3 linked regions of the Arabidopsis thaliana genome follow. The protein of the gene in region 3 interacts with the protein of the main gene of each other region in a pairwise test. Each region holds a gene or a part of one and is shown on either strand. Other genes may lie near its edges.

Region 1 (4,244 bases), on a different chromosome or scaffold from region 3:
GCTTACTTTCACACAAAGGTAAGTTTTGTGTGTACTTTTTTCCAAAACGTTATTGTCATCCTTGCTCTTCTTGTTTTTTGTTAAGTCTTGGATTTTAATAAAGCAGGATTACACTGAGGATGGTCTTGATGGTGGGAATAAGAGTTCTATGTATGCAAATGACATAATCATTAAGCCCGCTGATCGACATAATCTACTGCGCCCTGAAACTGTTGAATCACTCTTTGTCCTCTATCGTATCACAAAAGATACAAAGTATGAAAACTATTCATCCGATTTTCCCTCACTAATCTAAGTTCTTGGGGACTATTCTACTCTTAAAGCTAACACATTTCTAAAATTGCAGATACCGAGATCAAGGTTGGCAAATTTTTGAAGCTTTTGAAAAGTACACAAAGGTGAAATCAGGTGGATACACATCATTGGATGATGTAACAGAAGTGCCTCCTCATAGAAGAGATAAGATGGAGACATTTTTCCTTGGTGAAACATTGAAGTACTTATACTTGCTCTTTGGAGATGACTCAGTGATACCATTGGATAAGTTTGTTTTCAACACTGAAGCTCATCCATTACCAATAAGAAGAAACACCTGAAGGCTTAGTTTTGAAGACTACTCCAGACAATACACACACACACACACATACACAAACTTAAGAGAGGGTATGGAGAAAGTGATGTATAGTACACTGCCAATTGGAGAAGAAGTTAGTTCGTTGAGGAAAAAAAGTCATAACTTTCAATGTAAGATAAGCTTCTGCATCCAAATTATAACTTAACTCGTAAAAGTTTTTGCTTGTAGTAGTAGGTTTCTTGAGACTAATATTCTCTCTTTTCGTTAAGCTCTCACTTGGCAAAATGTAATCAGACACAATTGACATGGAGATGAATTATGGTTTTAGTTTTTTATACATACCATTTACACTGCAAGATAAGATCATTCTGATATGACTAATAAACCTTTAAATTTGAGATCATTTGGTCATCTTAGCTCTTTGTAATCTGCAAGGTGTTGCATAGAACATAATCGACTTGAAGTATGTATGAAGACCAAATTAGGCGCACACACACAATATTTTTTTGTAAATCTCCAAACTCATAACTTCATAAAGGGCGACAAGATCATGTATAAGTTACACACTTAAGTCTAGTTGTCAACAAAAAAAGATTAGTGACACAAAGAGACATCAATCACCCAATAAACTGAAACCACAAGAACCCTCAGTAACTGAATATGACACCATTGAGACAAGGCCGAGCACAGTGGAAAGGGTTTAACAAGTGTGGTTGCAACTGAGTAGCTCAATCAAGCCTTTGCTTTTCCTGCCTGGATAGTTTGTAGCCTTTGTTGTAACTTCATTATCTGCAAATATTTTGATTCCATAAATTGAAACCATAGGATCATTATCACCATTTAAAAGCCAAGAAAGTGCAGAAACAGCAAATCCTCATATTGCGCCAAGGCCAGTAGGCCACTCAACGAGACAGAGGAGATAACAAAGTTCAAGTATTTACTTTCCGGGCAGGCTTAAACTGACAACAATAGCTACCAAAGTATCTTTTTAGAGCTTAGTATACTGAGCATCAATGTTTGGACTATTATTGGTGTAGCAGTCCTAGTATCACTAATTCAATGCACTCAAAGAAGTATATAAATGCATGAGAGGCAGATGTCTTACCGTTTCTCTCTTGTTGTTTTGTTTTTCTTCCATATCTTGAAGAATTGCATCAAGCCGTTTCCTGCAAAGGATACAACAATATTCTTGAGGTCACAACACTATAGCTCAAACACTTTATCAACATCTCTCATAGTTGTTACATAGCTAGAAGTGAAAACATTTTAGCTACTTATGAACAGCAATCACTCACTATTAGCCTAGAAAGAAAGAAAGGTTCTTTATTTACAATAACAATCCCAAAATAGGTTTCTCAACGAACTGCATTTGCTTCAATCACATTAAAAGAAAAGAAACTCACAATTCAGCAGAGATGTACTCAATTCGTTTACGAACATTTGCATTAGCTTCAGCCAAATCCTGCTTCACTAACACCGGACCAATCAATTTGTAGACGTTAGCATCTTCTTCCAGCAAATCTAACTCCTGTAGATACAAGACAGACACATAAAAAGATTAAAGCCAATCAACAATCGAAATAAACTTCTCTTTTCAGTTGAAGTAGCCACAAAACTCAGATTAAACAGTGAGACATGAACATATACCTTAAGCACGAGCTCATTCTCACCGAGTTGGATCGTATACTTCTTTCTCAGCTGATGATTCTTCCCGATATCTGAAAATATGAACACAGAAAAGTAGGGTTTCCCGCCTCCAGAAACAAGAAAAGAATCAAATCGAGAAAAGTTACGAGAATCTACGAAACTTGCCTTTCTGGATTTTGCCGAGATCATTAGCCTTGTTTTCTAGGTCTCTCTGCAAATCACGAACAGTCGATGAACTCATCTTCGTCGTCGTCGTCTGCTTCTTCCTCACTCCGGTGGTTTATTGAAAACTCGCAGATCCACCAAGGAGCAGTAACAAAACTCCGTTAAAGCCCCCGTGTTTTAGTAAGGCCCAAAACCGTATTAACTTGGACTTTTTAACGGCCCAATATGCTTTTCTTCTATTATCAAGCCTAGTTTTAGTTACATACAAAAGAAAAACACTATTTATCACTTGGTGACGTAATATCTTCTAGTTCACTGATCATATCAACACTGAACATAACTCTCATAAACACAAATTTTTACTTTTCGTCCCTTTATACCTCAATCTATAACGGGAAAAATGTCGTTTAATACGTGAACTTTAAAAAAATGGTCATTTAATACGTGAACTTTATATATGGTAAATTAATACATACAAAAATCGTTGACTGGCCATTTTACACAAACTTAATCGTTGATCAGGCCAAAATCTACACGACGTTATCTGACATTAACAGACCGATAACAGCCGTTAACTAATCTCTGTTAGTTTCCAATACGACGTCATTTCGATTATCGCAAAAACGGGAAAAATGCCATTTAATACTCCAACTTTCAAATTATGGTCATTTTATACATCAACTTCACATATGGCCATTTTATACATGAACTAAACGTTGACCAACAGTTTAAAAAATGAGAATGTGTTAACCAGGCCAAAGAGACATACCGCTATCTAGGCCTAGGTATTTGAATAAATCCAAACCGAATCCAAACAAAAATCTGAATATCTAGGTCTAGATAGCGGTATGTCTTTTTGGTCTAATCAACGCATTCTCATATTTTAAACTATTGGTCAACGTTTAGTTCATATATAAAATGGCCACATGTGAAGTTGATATATAAAATGACCACAATTTGAAAATTGGAGTATTAAATGGCATTTTCCGTTTTCGCGATACTCGAAACAACGTCGTATTAGAAACTAACGAAGATTAGTTAACGACTGTTATCGGTCTGTTAATGTCAGATAACGTCGTGTAGATTTTGGCTTGATCAACGATTAAGTTTATGTAAAATTGTCAGTCAACGATTTTTGTATGTATTAATTTGCCATATATAAAGTTCACGTATTAAATGGCCAATTTTGAAAGTTCACGTATTAAACAACATTTTTTCAAATCTATAATAGTGAAAAGCCGAAGATTTTACAAAGACATTTTTGTTGTTGTCAAACTAATAATTCACTCCACAGCCTAAAAGAAATAGAGTTGGATCAAAAGTAAAGTTGCCACTTTAGTCTCGCATCTAGCACAGATCCAATGAGAGGGAAAAAAAAAGAGAGAACCTAGGTCAATACTAAAACTTATTCCATCGTGGCTCTACTAATTAGAACAATTAAATACTATGTTACAGTAGAAACATTTCTTTTACTTTTTTTTTGTTATGCGTGCATGGAGTTTTGTCTGTAAAGAGCTTTAAATATAGTGGAAATTAAATGTTGAGAGTTAAAAAAAAAGAAGAAAAAAAAAGACAAGGAGTGAGGAATCTTGGATAAAAGGACACTAACCTTCCCTGTCTTTGCTCGCTGCCCGAAAAGAACATACAGAAAGACACTTTCACATTTCACACTTACAGAGAGAGAGAAGAGAGATAAAGAGAGCATTTAGATATCTTGAGGAAGACGAAGAAGAAGTAGAGGAGAGATATGGTTCCGAGCAACAATAGATGCAAATGGAGTTCCATTTTCTTGTTTCTGCTCAGTGTCTCCGTTGCCGTCTTAGTCGCCGTCGCTGACGACAAGTCTCCGGCGGTTGAG
Region 2 (3,784 bases), 8.6 Mb from region 3:
AAGATTGCAGATGTAGAGACGAGTGTAAGATCTCGAGAGTTCATGGGGAGCTTCAAAATCGATAAAACAGATTTATCCAGAAAAATCTTTGCTCTTCTCTCTTCACTATTAAATGTAGCGGGAAACTATAAGAGAGTGAAAATCCCCGCCATTCCGGTTAAGGCAGGTCTATCATTCGGTTCATATGATTGTTGGTTTAGGTTTCGGTTAATAACTAGATTGGTTTACTGATTGTGCTTTCTCTTCTCAGCAGAAAATTATGGCAATTAACAGATTTTGGTTAATTTCATTTTTTTCAAAAATTATGTGTTATTGAATCATTTATTTTATTATTTGTTATTTTTTTTTATTTTTTTTAGTATTGAGTGCTACCAATATATTTTTTGGATAAAAAAAACTATACCGGTCCAGATTTGATATCTCAACCATCTCTTCTATATTTCTATTAACTATGGATTTAAACTTTTTTGTATCGTTGATGTTTTGACAATCTTTTCAATTCACAAAAAGGTTATAAAAGATTGATTTTGAAATTTTGGTTAATGATCTTGTGAAAAAATTGACATTACCTTTCAAAATTTTTTTTTATAACTATAGTTCTATATTCTTATTTTGCGCTTTTAAGATACCGTCTCTGACTTTTTTATTGGTAGGCACGGTTGTGTATACCTATATAAGTTTTAGTTTTATTTCGCTATTTAGTTTTCTTTTGTCTAATGTAATGTAATATGAACTGGATAGATTAAGAAAACATAAAGTGGAAACGAACAAAGTTTGAAAAATAACAAATAATTGGAAACGTACATGAAACTATGAAACACATGAAACAAGTTAATAACTTTAAAAAAAAAACATTGAAAGCATTACGTACATTTTTATCTATAAATAACAAAATGTATTTAAAACATAACGACCAGGCAATCGTAGATCACAACACAATTCAGATTAGCTATTAAACCTGTGGAATTTTGTTTTTTTTTGTCATTTAGAGCGTCTATACTAATTAATGTAATTGAGATTGCAGCGGAAAGACTCAAACCCTAGTTTCCGAATTCTCAATCCTATAAATCTGTTATAATCTTTCAACTATTTAAATCACATATATAAATAAAATATAAACTGTTATATGAGAAGAATTTGATTAAATTACTAATATATACGGACTAAGCACATAGTAAGTGAGCTAGTTGCTAGCTTTTGAATCCATTAAGCCACGTGCATCACCAATTATTACACAACCCACATCCACATTTTCATTTTTTTAAAAGGATACGTTAATTAACAAATATACAATCGCAAAGTTATTAGTTACAAAAACATATAAAATGAGATAGATGATGAAAAAGTGAAAAGGGTTTCTTTAAAAAGCCTCTCATGCTTCAATAACGTGATCCGTTTATATCCCATCTTCTCTGTCTTTTCTTCAACGGAGATTTTCTCTACACCTTAACTATTTTTTTTCTTCCTATTTCTATCTTCGTTTTACTAACCTACCCTCCATTATTTTCACTTTACAAGTATGCTCCTCTTATGTTTTGGAAAAAAAAAAAACAATGAAATTTTGCAATTGCAAGTTATGTCATAATATATAGTAGCTTTAACGTAAAAAACAACATTAATCACGTTTGCGTTTACATGTTTATATTATTTCGACATAAACGCAAATAACATGTTCATCATTATAAAACATTCTAAAAATTTGGTTATTGGTGACTATTTATTTTGTAACTCGACAAAACTTAAAAAATCTTATATATCTAACCTATTTTTAACTTTAGTTGATTGTTGTACAATCACATCATTTCGTCTTATCATGGAACCACACTTGACAACAAATTCACATAATGGCGGTACGGTGGTCGTTTGTTAACTTTGAGGATTATATAAAAACCCAATGATCAAATAACCCAAAAAGATATGCATATTCGAATAAGGGGTTATAAGTGTAATTTCAAGTAGATAGTATATGTGCACAGACACGAAGCAGCTTACATATAAAGTGATTGGTAATTGCCATCCCCACACTTATTGAGAAGTGCAGCCTTTTAGCCAAAAAAAACAAACAAGAATACAAAAATGGCTGAACAACAAGATCATCACAAAGAGCTTCAGCTTTTACCTTCTCCACCGTCTACCGAATCTCCGGTAAGGAAACACCGACCAACAGTTATAACAACCGACCATCACAACAATCACCACCGTTCCTCCTCCATGATCCACCACGATCTTGACCTCAAACTCTCCATCAGCCTCAGCTCGATCTCAACAGCGGAGGAGCTTCCAAACGGTGGTGTGGAGGCGTTGAAGTGGCAAGCCGCGGAGCAGATAAGGCTTGCGGCTATAGAGAAGGCTTACGCCGAGAGGGTTAGAGAGTTGACTCGCCGTGAGATGGAGATGGCTCAGTCTGAGTTTGCTCGTGCAAGGTAGTTAAAGCTAGCTCGATCAAGTAATAATTCTGGTTTTGGTTTGGTTAACGGTTTTGAATTGTAACCAGGGTGATGTGGCAGAAGGCAAGGGAAGAAGTGGAGAGAGCTGAGAGATTGAAGGAGAGATCAATGACGAAGATCGATACGGCTTGCTTGGAGATCACTTGCCACTCTTGCAGACAAAGGTTTAGGCCATAACATAAGTATTTATTTGTTTCTCTTAATTATTGTTATTATAAATGGATATTTGAAGAGAAAGAGAATGTTGGTTTAATTTAAATTTTATTTTGTAGTTAAATTTAATTTGTTTTCATTTTCGAGTTTGGTAATATTATATAGTCCTTCCTTTTTATTTTCTTGAAATCGAAGGAAAACAATATGCTCAGATAAGAGATGATTTATGTTTCCAGCTACTTTACTTCCTCTTCTTTGCCAACCAAAAAAAAAAAAAAAAAAAATCATGAATACCATTTAGTGAATTACTTGGGAATTAGGGATAAAATTCATTAGTTACGTTGTCAACATTAGCTATGTCAATTCCTCAACGATCAGCTATTATATACTATATGGAGTATTAAAATCTAACTATGACATTTATTAACCAACAGAACAAAACCTAATTAGTAATTACAGTGATTAGTTAGTTAAATGCTTGATGTTAAAGTAACAAGAGATGGAGTGACATTCACAATCGAGGAACGTGGAAAATAAAAAAGAGAATGGACGGATTGCATGATTTGAATATAATTGGCTGACCCATATGTGATTCATTTGATTTGTTGTAATCATCTTTGAAAACGTTCGTTCAATGAAAATTGATGATTATTCTGAAAACAAATAATCAAACACACGTAAAGACATATGCATGGAGATGATGGGTATAATTATTGCATTAACATGCTTATTTCATCTACTTTAATCTCTTAGGTCGCTTTAAATAGTATATATGTGTGTACTATTATTTTGTGTTTGTGCATATACGTACATTTACTTACAGAAACTTGATAAATGTATGAATATTTTTGATAAGAGAGAGGATTAATTTTAATTATGTACTTCGTAGACTATGGTTTAAATCAATCGTGTACTACAGATAATATGTTCAAATTTAAATCCTAAAAAATGCCGAGTTTACGATCATACCCTAAATACGTAAATCAACTCGGCTGATCTATTCGGTTGGTCGTCATATTCTCTATAAAATGATACATACATATGAACTATATTAACGATTATGACAATATATAGAATATATGTAAACATTTTGAGAATATATATCAAAAGCACATTGTAATCCACTTTGTCATTTCTATGCCCATCTTTAGTATTTGGAACTGAATATACGTTTTCGAACAGAT
Region 3 (5,268 bases):
TGGAGAAGGAAAAAGAAGAAGACAGCGTGGAGAAAGAGCCCAGAATGTTGAACGTCGTGTGGGCTTCACTCTGCACCACCACCCCAAAACCCTAGTTCATACCCTATCCTATAATTTATACTCAAAATTTTCTCATTTCTTCTATTATTTATCACCATTCATATGGAAGTATATATTTAATGAAGAATTTTCGGATCTATAGATCATTATATGTAAAATCAGTTTTTGATAAAACATGTGACAGTTTCACAAAAATAGTTCATCTTTCACAAAAATAGTACTCGAATCCGGTAGCATTTTAGTATCCTACTATTTAGTTTTTCCACTCCTTTTCATTATATATATAATGATATAAGTCTTTTTACCTCTTTTTCATAAGTCTTTTTAACTCTTTTTTTCTTTAAAAATGATTATATGCACATCTACTTGATAAACTGGCGGATGGTAAACTTGAGTTAGGTTTGAGAATTTTCACTAATTATTTTAGGATTTGAATCTTCTTTAGTATGAGACAATTAAGCTAACACACTCGAAGATATATTCAGATCATAATCAAAATTTATCCGTTGGATATGTATGAATAGATTAAATAAAAGAGAGAATCTCTTCGGTGCACTTGAGACAAATCTATAACATAGAAAATCTTGATTAGATTAAAAACTAGATTAAAGAAGGAAAGAAAAACAAGAAAGTGGGTTTGGCTATACGAAACGAGTGGGATTATTAATGATTAAAAGTAAAAGTCTTTTTGGTCTCTGGTCGGTCGACAATCCGTGTGTCCTGTGGTCAGTGTTTGTTTTTTATTCTTTTGGTTAATTTTCGAGTATTATTATGCTTTCCACTGAAAAAACAAAAACATTAAGCAGCCAAATGAAATTCTTTTAACGCGTTGTTTCAGAACCTGATGAAAAAACAATAATCATGACCTCTTTCTTCTTCCCCTTTAAATGCATGTCAAATTGTGTAGGAGTGTTTGATTATATAAATTAAATCTACTTTAGTCTTCTCTTCTTTGTAGAATTGTAGAGTCGTGGTATAAACTCGAAAATTTCTTATTATACTTATAGAAATTAGGCAGACGAAATGCTCTTGATTTGCTTACAATCTTAGATTAGGTTTAACCCAAGATAAAAAAAAACTTTGTTTTGATGAAGAAAAACACCTTAGTTACAATTTTGGACATCATCTTTTATTTTCACAGTTAGCATCTGAGACTTTTTTTTCTTTTCTTAAATAGAGTTCTTAGACAATATCTTTTGGGTCCCTGATCATGTCAAATGCCAAAAAAATAAATAAGTATACATGATTGTGTCTATTTGACCATTCTAACTTCTAAAAGTTTCAAATGAAATAACTTTGTCAACTATTATTTTTGCCTATGAATTAGGTGCTGACCAGAATCATCTTGCTAAAATCATGATTTTCTACTATTGCATATTATTCTTGATCGCATTTCACAGATCTTAATATATACGAAAATAACTGTATATATTATCAACTGTTACGATTAATATATAACCATGCATATCGAAATATTTTGAATTAGTATTTTTTTTGCTAAATAATATTTTGATATAGTGGTGGCGTGGTATTCCTCATTTACAAATCGCATGAACTTTATCCTAAATACGATTAACTTAAGTAGAAAAGGCACAAAAATCTTCTATTCATTAACATGAAATCAATTCTTAAGAACATAAATAAATAATAATATTCATAGGAAGCCAAATCCATCAGAGAAATCCACAAGATGATGACAGCTCCCCATTTAGAAGTCGTAAAAGAAAAGCAAAGAAGATGTGCAGCACTTGCAGTTTCATTTGTTTTGTTAGATATACCAGAAAAAAAAAAAGAGTGGTCCCATAAAAACCTGTAATATATAACATTTTAATCAAAGAAAATGATAGATTTTTTTATTAAACAGGAAAAACCACTAACTTTTAATTAAAAAATTTGGAATACAGCAATACATCAAAAATCCATTAACGGTACATTATAGTTGAAAATAAATTCAGGTTACATAATATTTTTTGCGTAATCACTATACTATTCTGCCATTTTATATGGAACTAAGTTCATACGTTATTTCTCACAATTCTCCTTGATGTGATCAAAGATAATGGCGGTCTGATTGTATAACCCGGTGAAAAAGGTTTTTTGGAAAGAATTCTTTAATATTAAAATATCAAATAAATTTTGTTTAAAAATTAAGGACACATTATATAGCACTATATATACACATGTGTATGCATTATCAAATGGGATGTTTGTGACCTTTTGTCTCTTCTTCTCTAAAATTCTCTTTCTCCCAAAAACTAAAAAACCAAAAAAACCAAAAAATGTACGCAATGAAAGAAGAAGACTGTCTTCAAACATTTCACAACTTACAAGACTATCAAGACCAGTTTCATCTTCATCATCATCCACAAATTCTCCCCTGGTCGTCGACATCTTTACCTTCTTTTGACCCACTCCATTTCCCATCTAACCCGACCCGTTATTCTGACCCGGTTCACTACTTCAACAGAAGAGCTTCTTCTTCCTCTTCTTCTTTTGACTATAACGACGGTTTTGTCTCTCCTCCTCCTTCCATGGATCATCCTCAGAACCATCTAAGGATTTTATCCGAAGCTCTTGGACCCATCATGCGTCGTGGCTCGTCCTTTGGGTTCGATGGTGAGATCATGGGAAAATTGAGTGCACAAGAAGTCATGGATGCTAAGGCTTTAGCTGCTTCAAAGAGTCATAGTGAAGCTGAGAGAAGAAGACGAGAGAGAATCAACACTCATCTTGCTAAGCTGCGTAGTATATTACCAAACACAACCAAAGTAAGTCGTTTATAAATAAACACTCTTCTCCTTTCATTATGGTTTGATATTTCAGAAACTAATTCACTATTTTGAAAACCCTATGGAAAAATAGTTTTAATTAATTAATGATCCTTCAAAATTTCTCTTTATTTAGTTATTATTGGTTAGAGTAGTAGTAATTGTTGTTGTTTTTTAATAAAGAGAGTAGTAGTAATTGTTCTTTTTCTGATAAATATAGTACTAATTATTCAGTTTCAAAAATGATAAGTACTATATTTTTCAATATTATCATTTTTATCTATCTCTGTTCAACTATTATCGTTTAGTAGTTGTAAATTTTCAAATTTAAAATAAATGTATCAAATCGATATTTTTGGTAAGTAATTATAGTCCACAGATGGGGTATTTTTGTACTAGTTATTATTATTGAAGAAGAAGAATAAGAAGATTAAATACTTATGATTCGTTTTGGTTTTGTATAGACGGACAAAGCTTCTTTGCTAGCGGAAGTGATCCAACACATGAAGGAGCTAAAACGACAAACATCACAGATCACCGACACGTATCAAGTCCCAACAGAGTGCGATGATCTGACCGTAGATTCGTCTTACAACGACGAGGAAGGAAACTTGGTGATAAGAGCATCCTTTTGCTGCCAAGACAGGACTGACCTCATGCATGACGTCATCAATGCCTTAAAGTCTCTTCGTCTTCGAACTCTCAAAGCTGAGATCGCAACCGTAGGTGGTAGAGTCAAGAACATCTTGTTCTTGAGCCGAGAATACGATGATGAAGAAGATCATGATTCATATCGTAGAAACTTCGATGGTGATGACGTGGAGGATTATGATGAAGAGAGGATGATGAATAATCGTGTGAGTTCGATAGAAGAAGCGTTAAAGGCGGTTATAGAGAAGTGTGTTCATAATAATGATGAAAGTAACGATAACAATAACTTGGAGAAATCATCTTCAGGGGGTATTAAGAGGCAAAGGACTAGTAAGATGGTGAATCGATGTTATAATTAGTTAATTAAGTCAAGTCTTTATTAACTAGGGTTAGTTAATTAGACTTGCAAAATGGGATTTGATTATGGGTTGGTGATATTAGTATTATTTTCGGTGTTTTTAGTAGTTGGGATTGGGTTTCTTCTTCTATGTTTTTTTAATCTATGAAGAACCCTTTGTTTAGGGTTTTATAGTGATGAGTTTGGTTTATATATGGTAGTTAAGACATTTTATCGTCTTAATTAATATAGGAAATGTATAGAGCTTGGGTTTGTATTAATTTATCAAGAAGTTTTATTTATCATATTCATGAACTCTGCAACTATTTAATCTTTTGTTTATAAGCAACAACACTACGTAGTAATAGTATAGAGTATAGTTTTATACTTGTCAATTTATTTTCTATTGTGACTGATATAAGAGAAATGACATAAAGAAATCTCTTACGCATATCCATTGTTATTTTTTCTGACAAACTACAACGATTATGTCGAAATCAGTTTTTAAATGTGCATGGGAGAAATAGTCTATGTCGTACTTACTCTATAATTTATTTCCTCAGTTTCTACATATTTTTTAAAACCACAATTTTTTCTTCACATCCGATATATAATTAATGTGATATTTCTTAAATTAGATTGATGTAGAGAGTTATGTGACGGAAGATTTGTGTAAGTTATATCAAGTGAAATCGAGAGTAGTAGTAGATCGAATCTTTTTCGTGAGAAGTGAAAACTTAGATCTTAGTTCTATTTATAGAAACTTAGTTTTGGGATCTCTGATAATATTGTCTCTTTCGCCGTTACTGACTTACGTTATTTATTACAATATTACAGAGACGGTTGATACCACAAGCACATTACGTCATGATCTCGTCATTTTGTATCTACTGGTTTTTCCTTTAGTCCAAAATTCAACGTAGAACCAAAAAAATGGGCTTATTAATTTGGTGTTTTCTTGAGTCTTATTACTTAGACAGCTTTAGACAAATTCTGTATTCCGGTCCAACAGTCGGAAATTTAATCCACTGAGGAAAAAATTTCAACAAAAAATATATAAATGGTAAAATATCGGCAATATTTAATAATGTAACAGGAATATGAAAGAAAAAAAAATGACAAAAAATAAAGAAAAGACTTTACAATTAAGAATTACGAGTTAAAAGGCCAAGTTTTCTAGACCCAATTTTGGCCCAAGAGATTCGATATGTGCTTTTGAAGAGTGTATAGCCGGTGGGTGATGATATCATTTTGACCCATGGGCTGATGTTGAGGCCCAATAAAGAAAAAATATAAAAATGGCCTATACAGGGATCGAACCTGTGACCTTCGCGTTATTAGCACGACGCTCTAACCAACTGAGCTAATAGGCCAATCTGATTGTAATTCTCGTTTTAGATATTAATAGATGTAATATAGACATAGTATATGAACTTGTGAGGTTTAGAAATA

The links.
Region 1: the proteins of BHLH32 (region 3) and PFD6 interact in a two-hybrid assay, tested with the Arabidopsis thaliana proteins (one large-scale study listed by BioGRID).
Region 2: the proteins of BHLH32 (region 3) and AT3G48550 interact in a two-hybrid assay, tested with the Arabidopsis thaliana proteins (one large-scale study listed by BioGRID).

Annotation. Positions count from the first base shown.
Region 1 is NC_003070.9:10,505,884-10,510,127, reverse strand, and holds PFD6 (prefoldin 6), read right to left. Parts: upstream 2,596-4,244; 5' UTR 2,463-2,595; coding exon 2,387-2,462; intron 2,293-2,386; coding exon 2,222-2,292; intron 2,103-2,221; coding exon 1,978-2,102; intron 1,741-1,977; coding exon 1,680-1,740; intron 1,364-1,679; coding exon 1,307-1,363; 3' UTR 977-1,306; downstream 1-976. Other genes in the region: MNS3 (alpha-mannosidase 3), read left to right, coding at 1-18, 107-255, 347-596; AT1G29980 (choice-of-anchor C domain protein, putative (Protein of unknown function, DUF642)), read left to right, coding at 4,134-4,244. UniProt on the Arabidopsis thaliana protein: Binds specifically to cytosolic chaperonin (c-CPN) and transfers target proteins to it. Binds to nascent polypeptide chain and promotes folding in an environment in which there are many competing pathways for nonnative proteins.
Region 2 is NC_003074.8:17,991,972-17,995,755, forward strand, and holds AT3G48550 (SHOOT GRAVITROPISM-like protein), read left to right. Parts: upstream 1-1,847; 5' UTR 1,848-2,076; coding exon 2,077-2,423; intron 2,424-2,494; coding exon 2,495-2,624; 3' UTR 2,625-2,808; downstream 2,809-3,784. Other genes in the region: AT3G48540 (Cytidine/deoxycytidylate deaminase family protein), read right to left, coding at 1-44.
Region 3 is NC_003074.8:9,367,259-9,372,526, forward strand, and holds BHLH32 (basic helix-loop-helix 32), read left to right. Parts: upstream 1-2,240; 5' UTR 2,241-2,339; coding exon 2,340-2,828; intron 2,829-3,292; coding exon 3,293-3,838; 3' UTR 3,839-4,229; downstream 4,230-5,268. UniProt on the Arabidopsis thaliana protein: Transcription factor required for MONOPTEROS-dependent root initiation in embryo. Transcriptionally controlled by MONOPTEROS.